Linked DNA regions of Drosophila melanogaster. Changing the gene in region 1 together with any one later gene gives a genetic interaction. Each region holds a gene or a part of one and is shown in the gene's direction. Other genes may lie near its edges.

Evidence for each region. Genes that interact genetically often act in the same process or in processes that back each other up.
Region 2: of Mi-2 (region 1) and Kr, changing one enhances a phenotype caused by changing the other (phenotypic enhancement), as found in Drosophila melanogaster (2 studies listed by BioGRID).

The regions. Positions count from the first base shown.
Region 1 is NT_037436.4:19,908,416-19,912,168, reverse strand, and holds the start of Mi-2 (Mi-2), read left to right. Parts: upstream 1-1,953; 5' UTR 1,954-2,089; coding exon 2,090-2,126; exon of another isoform or gene 2,127-2,535; intron 2,536-2,589; exon of another isoform or gene 2,590-2,971; intron 2,972-3,753. Other genes in the region: Prp3 (precursor RNA processing 3), read right to left, coding at 1-595, 650-1,691. UniProt on the Drosophila melanogaster protein: ATP-dependent chromatin-remodeling factor which acts in nucleosome-remodeling by catalyzing ATP-dependent nucleosome mobilization. Involved in regulating transcription. Plays a vital role in development.
Region 2 is NT_033778.4:25,224,611-25,228,363, forward strand, and holds the start of Kr (kruppel), read left to right. Parts: upstream 1-2,000; 5' UTR 2,001-2,341; coding exon 2,342-2,378; intron 2,379-2,751; coding exon 2,752-3,753. UniProt on the Drosophila melanogaster protein: Krueppel is a gap class segmentation protein. It is involved in the segmentation of the embryo and in the differentiation of the Malpighian tubules.

The DNA.
Region 1 (3,753 bases):
CAGACGAGTACGCATGAGTTCGGCACGTCCTGGCCGTCATTGCCCTTGGCGTTGTCCTCCTCCCACTTAATGCGCGTTAGCATGAGCCTGCGATACTTTTTCTGCTGCTTGGGCCCACCCTCCACGACAACCACACAGCAATCCCGGAACAACACCACGCTGCCGGTCATCTGCAGCTGCTTGGCATTGGTCTCCACCTTGAATTTCTTGCTCTGGTTGTCCTGCAGATCTCGTATGCGATAGACGCTGACATGTACACCGCAGCTGGTGTCTTCCCTCAGCTTGCGCTGCTTCTTTTCGCTCTTCTGCTCGCTGGTCAGCTTGCGCGCATTGTTGGCATCTTCGTGCGCCTTCTGCCGCTTGGCCATCTGGTCGCGCACATGCTGCTCCATTTTGGTCGGATCTTGTACGGCCTCCGAGCCAAGCACACGCATCAGGTTGGATATGCGCAGTTTCGGCTCTGGTGGGGCCACCAAACCCAGTCGGATCTTCTCCTGCTCCTCCTTCCAGGCCTCGCGACGGTTCTGGCGACGAAGCTTTTTGCGCTCTTTCTTTGTGAGGAAAACCGGCAGATACACTGGTTTCAAGGGCTCATCTGAAGGAGTAGGTGGTTAGTTGCTTGTGGGACATGTTCTAGCTTTCAACTTACTTGGCGGCTTCATTTGTGTGGGATGCTCTATAAGGTTGGTTATGGCTGTTTGGCGTATGCTTATCTTACCGCTTGCGTCGTCTACCGTCTCCAGATCCTGGGTCAGTATAACTGAGTCCCACCACTCCATGGCAGGCACATCGTCCGGCATGTCCTGCTTGGGGGCAATCAATGCCAGTTTGGTGGCCGACGAGATGCCCGTTTTCCGGGCTATTTGCGAAATCTCATTCTGTAGTCGCTCCAGCTGGCTTTTCATGCGCATTCGTTCGGCCAGCTGCTGGAACTTTCCGGGCTCGTGGAATCTCAACGTCCTCTTGGTTCTAACAGTGGGCTTCAGGGCTATGCGGTCGTCAAAGTACTTAATAGCTTCTTCCTGGGCCGAAGTGCCCGATTCACTCCGTTCACCCAAACCCGTTTGGCGTTGGAACACCTCCCGTTTCTTGGCGCGTATGTTGGCTTTCAATGTAGGTGTCACCGTGGGAATATTAATGGTACGTCCGCTCTTGTCCACAGTGCGTCCTTCATCGTCCAGAATCAGGGGTTTGGGTCGCTCCTGCGCTTGAGCAGCAGCTGCAGCGGCGGCCGCTACCGCAGTGGGCTGAATCAAACTAGCCAAATTGCCAGTAAGCTTGGCCCTGATCTGTGCCTGCAACTCGGCAATCTTCCTGGCCTTCTCCGAGTCCTCGGGCGTGGGCTTCTTCGCCAGCGCTTGAGTGGCTAAGGCAACTGGCATTCCGATCGATGGAACTGACGCCAGCAGCGGATCCTTGTCTCTTAGATTACTCAGGGCCCGCTTGCGTTCCTCGATCTCCCGCTGGGCATGGGCCATCATCAGCTTGATCTGCGTGGAACTCAGCGAGGCGGGCACGGCGACCTCTTCTTTCTTCTCACCACCGCCGCCATTCTTTTCCGGGACATCGAAGCGGGATTTCTTGGGCGCTTCAAGGGCGCTTCCACCACCACTTTTGGAATCTGAGGCGGCAGCGCGCTTTTTGGACAATTTCTGGTCGTCGCCATCCTTGCGCGTGATAATGGACGACATAATTCGCAATTAAATGGGTCGGACTAAAAAGTAAATGTTATTTACCAACTGCTTGGCACATTCCTTGAGCTTAAATCAGCGATTTGCAATTCAAAAACAATACACAAGGTTTTTGGTCTTTGGTGAAAAATTCTCCGAAACACGTTAGGACAGGGTCGTTAAAAAAACATAAAAGTCAGGGTTGTCATGTCGCCAGTGTGACCGTTTCGCTTTCTTTTATCGGGGTGCAACCCTAGTTCTCTCACTTTTTGTCGCTCTCCGCTCCGCCATATTTGTTGAAGCCGCTTACAATTGACTATTTTTTTCTCGTCGTGTCTGTGTGTGCTTAATTATTTGTTGTGGAAATTAAGACAATTTCGTGTGCTCAAACAGTGTAAAAGTTGCATTCGAGTGCTACAATGGCATCGGAGGAAGAGAATGACGATAATTTCCAGGGTAAGTGCATTGTTTCAGTCGGCCAAATGTCGGCGTGAAAAAAACTCGGTCCGACCGTCGCTCGGTCAGGCTAAGAACCGTGGTCATGTTCAAGAGCCGCAAAGCCGCGCAGCGTGCTGCGTCCCCCTCCCATTGTTTATTGTTGCCTATTATCCTAATTGGTCATTGTCATTGCTGTACCTCGTTATAAACTATTTGTATTACAGCAATTGGTGAAATTTGTACATGTGTGGCGCGTTTTTTTGGGGTCTTTTGCGCCTCCTCCATTCCACACATATTTTTTATTGCATTTTTGTGTTCCCTCCATTCGCGAATGCAGGCAATATATAGACGTCCTGCTCACTCATCAAAACATATGTTTTACATGGTTGTTTTGGTCGAAAGTTTTGAGTGGAATACTCTGTAAATCCTTTAAAATTAAGTTTTATCTTAAGTTCTTTAGCAATTAAGATGTTTACTTTACCTGTGAATTGTCAAGTGTCAATTGTAATATACGGAAAATTCATTTTAGTTCACACTTATTGTGGTGTTACCGTATATGCAGTGTTATCATCGGCTGTGCAATGGTATCACCAGAAAAATAGTGTGCCCCTTTTGGAGCTAGTCGAGAATGCCCAGACGGCCTCATCTGCCACCATTTACATTCATTGTTGCTTGGACGTGGCAGCCATGACGTGATTTCTGAGTTTTTGTTAAAGAGATTACATTATTAATTGTAGAGAAAACTGTTAATTAAGGGGAATACGTGCATTACTCGCCACCGCCTACCGATTGCCAGTGTAAAGCCACAAATCCAGTGCGTAATATATCCAACTGAAGGAAAAGCGAAAAAAGAATGATGAAAAGTGTGTGCAAAAAATAAAAACCTGAAATTACCACAAAATATGCATATATATATTATAAATTGTGTAAGAAAGCAATGCAAAAAGAAAACGAAGCAATATGTGCATATATCTAAAGAAACGAAACAAAGATGCGTGGAATATTGTGGAAAATCTTGTCGCACTTCCACTGACGCACATACATATGTGATTTTTTCCACTCCCCCTTCGCCGACGTGCTCTCTTGATTGATTTCTCCACTCTCTCGCGTACTTGCGTCTCTGTGTGTGTGCGTGTTATGCACGCGCGCTCCAGCCAAACGTCGCCGTCGCCCCGTCTCTGTCGCTCCAACGTATATGATAAAAAAAAACTCACAGAAACCCGACGCGTTTAAATTAAATTTAGTTAAAAACAACAACAAAAATATAGCTACCAATGCAATCCTACCGAAGTGCCTGCAAAACAACTAAAGTATAGTCTTTTTAACGAGTTAATCAAAATATGCCAACACACAAGTAAGATGAAGAAGGAGAAAAGTAGAGTGTGGAAAAGAGACGATGCCAAGGGATGGGATGGGAAGGTGCCCGTCTCGCGAGGAAATTGCTGGAATGTAGTAGTAGTTCATAGGAAAACTGATAAACAATATGCCGCCGCTGTGTAACAAAAAGCAGCAGTATCCATAGCCACCCCAATTTTGCATACAATTTATGTTAATTCGTTCGCAGCTGTTCCTCTTCTGTCTACAGGCCTCTTCTCTCTTCTGTCCCTGCCCTCATTCGCCTCTCTTCTGCTTCTCCGTTCGACGC
Region 2 (3,753 bases), on another chromosome or scaffold:
CATTTCCCCTTTGATGACAACCCTCGTTTTCACTTCATATATTTGCTCAATAATTGATATATTCTTGCGAAAAATAATATAGTTTAAAATGTTTTAGCTTAGCGCGTGGTTTCTTTGAAAATAAAGCTTAGCGCGATTAGAATATGAGTTTGACCCAGCTTTACAAACTACTCATTAATATTAAAGAATAATAACTAACTAAACTAATTTTGTTGACCCAGGTAAGTTCCCATATTTCGGACCTTATCAGCGGCCTCGACCATACGCACTTTACACGCACTTCTGCCCCATTCACTCGGAAATCTTTAGTTCGCTTTGCCAATCAAAATCTAGTCTATTTTTCTTTTACTCGCTTTGATACTATTCTAGTTTAGTGATTGCCGACAAAGTCATTAACGATAAGGCCCGGATCTTATTAAAATCTGTTGAGCTTAAGTGGATCTTTCAATATCAAGCCTCTGCTTATCACGCAAACAACCAAAAAAAATTTCTGACTAATCGCCGAAACATAGGAATCGTATGAAGATTTTCTAAAACCGGTCAGCTCAGCCCGAAATTTAAGAATTTCTTATCAATAGGGTCAGTTTTAAGCGCTTTGCTTGCATATTATTTAATGCCTTCTGCGAATTTTGTTTTGGTGAAAAACTTTCTATGAAGTCGAACATTCGATGACAAAACCATTATAATTTTACGTAACATTATGCAGAGCAAGGATATTTGTGTGCCTTTCTGCTTTTGTTTGGTTTCACTTTCTTAAAATCCACGGTAGTTCAAATTTACCACCCGGTGAGCTCTGAGCGTCCTTGGCCTACCTACAAAACCAAAAATACCGATTTTCAACATAAATTTAACATAGCATGTCCTTGCCATAAAAATCTACATAAAACCATTTAAAAGTCAATCCGCAAAAGTCACAGAAAACGTCTATACAAGCAAGAAAATTTCAACGATGCAGCTCTCTTACAATTTTTTATTATATTTCCTTTCTACCTGAATCCGTTTTTTACTAGTTCCTTTTTACGATTTCTTTTTTAGACGTGTGCCAATAATTAGTTGTCCATTAAACTGAACTTCCACGTCTTTGAGACTTTGCTCAACAGGCTACAAGGAAGACAAAAAACTCACTCAGTATAGCTGGTAAAAAACCGTCGACCTTCTTTCTTACTTTCTGCACTCCTTAAGCCGATGTTTTGTTTACTTCCTGTTTACTCGTACAGCGCACGCTTGAAATTCAACCCCGTCCGTGACATCTCTTTTCATGAATTTTGGCTCTTTTGCTCTCGCTGTTTCATTTTCGCCCTGTTCTCCATTGGCGTTCATCCCCCTTAGACACATTAGTTATTTTCTATAGCTCAAATGTAAAAAGGGGAAATGACAAAGGCACATCTGAGTGAGTTTTTGTTGTGCGTCCCTTACTAACTCTAAAAACTTCTACGTGATCTTTATGTGGTGTAATATTCCTGCAAGTGCAGTTTTTATGAAGGCTCTAAAAAACACAAGCGGAAGTGGTCATAAGCATTAAAAAATGTCCTTTAACGGTCAACACATAGTTCTGATTTTTTATGTTTTATTACTGACTAGAAACGTAAAGGTCATAAAACCCTCTACTCAGCGAAGATAATTCGCATCGACAACCTATGTTAAAAAACCACATCGTCCATATTTGACTCTAACTGACTATATATCTTTTGCATTGAAAGGAACCTCTAGCTGTCTCATTCGCACCAATTTGCATATGAAAAATTAGCACTTTTAGGTATAAAAAGGAATCGATGAAATCAACTCACTCAACTCAGCGAAGTACCCAGTTTTTACTTTACCTGCTCAGGCTTGGGGATCGTTTTTCGCTTTCGCCGTGATGATTTCCCTTCCTGTCTGCACCCTTATTTGCGTGCGTGTGAGCGGGAGAGCCAATTGAGTCCCGGCGTGTGTGCGTACGAGGGTGAGTGAGAATCTTTCGCCGAGACAGAGCGTACTTATAGTTAGCTCACGCAGCGAATTTGTATCAGTCGTGATTTGGCTCTGTCAGCGAAAGGAACAACCATTTGTTGTGCCACACACAACCGCGAGTAATATAATCGAATCAAATTTCAACTACCTCATTTTGCTAAATCGGTAAACTTTTATAAAAGACAATTTTTGTGAAATCTCTCTACCTCAAAGTACAAAAGTGTGTACAAAAATTATTCATATCCCTGAAAGTGCACAAATTGCTCAAATGAAATTTTGTTGTCTAAAAAACTGAAGCTCCAAAACCACGAAGGCGAATATTATAGGTGTTTTCTGTGTGCGGGAAAACATTGCGCGAGCACAAAATTAGGAGCACAAGAAGAATTTGTTGATGTCCATATCAATGCTTCAAGACGCACAAACGCGAAGTAAGTATTAGACCAAATTAAAATATTCCCCAAGTTTGTAAACTATCTAGAAGTTCTAGAGTCCCCGATCACTTTCTCATTATTAAACAGTCCGATGTCTTTAGGATAGAAAATACAAATGTAATGTAATTGCACACATACCGATTAGTTAGAATTTGTTTACATGTTTGGACAGGAACCGGCACTTAACTCGTTATCGACCAAAACAAAAACTAGTTAGACGAAAATAGAGAGCTGCGAAAACACTAAGAGTTCTCTCCGTACGAAACTTTCTCTCACACATGTATCATATGTAAAATTTTTTTCTCTTTTAAGCCGTTGCTCTTAAGACATTTCCAAATGAAAACATACTAACTTATGATTTTTTTTTTAGCCTTAGCTGCTGCATTAGCTGGCATAAAACAAGAGGACGTTCATCTAGACCGTTCCATGTCGCTATCGCCCCCCATGTCGGCCAACACATCAGCTACAAGCGCCGCTGCGATTTATCCAGCTATGGGTCTCCAACAGGCGGCCGCTGCCTCAGCTTTTGGAATGCTCTCACCTACCCAACTTCTGGCTGCAAACCGTCAAGCTGCCGCATTCATGGCCCAACTGCCCATGAGCACATTGGCCAACACTCTCTTTCCACACAATCCGGCGGCTTTGTTTGGGGCTTGGGCTGCCCAACAGTCGCTCCCGCCCCAGGGTACGCATTTACATTCGCCGCCAGCCAGCCCGCACTCGCCGCTGTCCACTCCTTTAGGTAGTGGCAAGCACCCATTAAATTCCCCCAACAGCACTCCCCAGCACCATGAGCCAGCGAAGAAGGCTCGAAAGTTATCGGTTAAGAAGGAGTTTCAGACCGAGATCAGCATGAGTGTAAACGATATGTACCATACATCGGGAGGCCCAATATCTCCGCCTTCCAGTGGCAGCTCTCCTAATTCAACGCACGACGGAGCGGGTGGAAATGCTGGATGTGTCGGTGTCTCCAAGGATCCATCTCGCGACAAAAGCTTCACCTGTAAAATCTGCTCACGCAGCTTTGGCTATAAGCACGTGCTTCAGAACCACGAACGCACCCACACCGGTGAGAAGCCTTTCGAATGTCCGGAGTGCCACAAGCGGTTTACTCGTGACCATCACTTAAAAACCCACATGCGTTTGCATACTGGAGAAAAACCATATCATTGCTCGCACTGCGATCGTCAATTCGTTCAGGTGGCCAATCTTAGACGACATTTGCGAGTCCACACTGGAGAGCGTCCCTATACTTGTGAAATCTGCGATGGCAAATTCAGTGACTCCAATCAGCTTAAGTCCCACATGCTGGTACACAACGGTGAAAAGCCGTTCGAGTGCGAACGGTGTCACATGAAGTTCCGACGGCGCC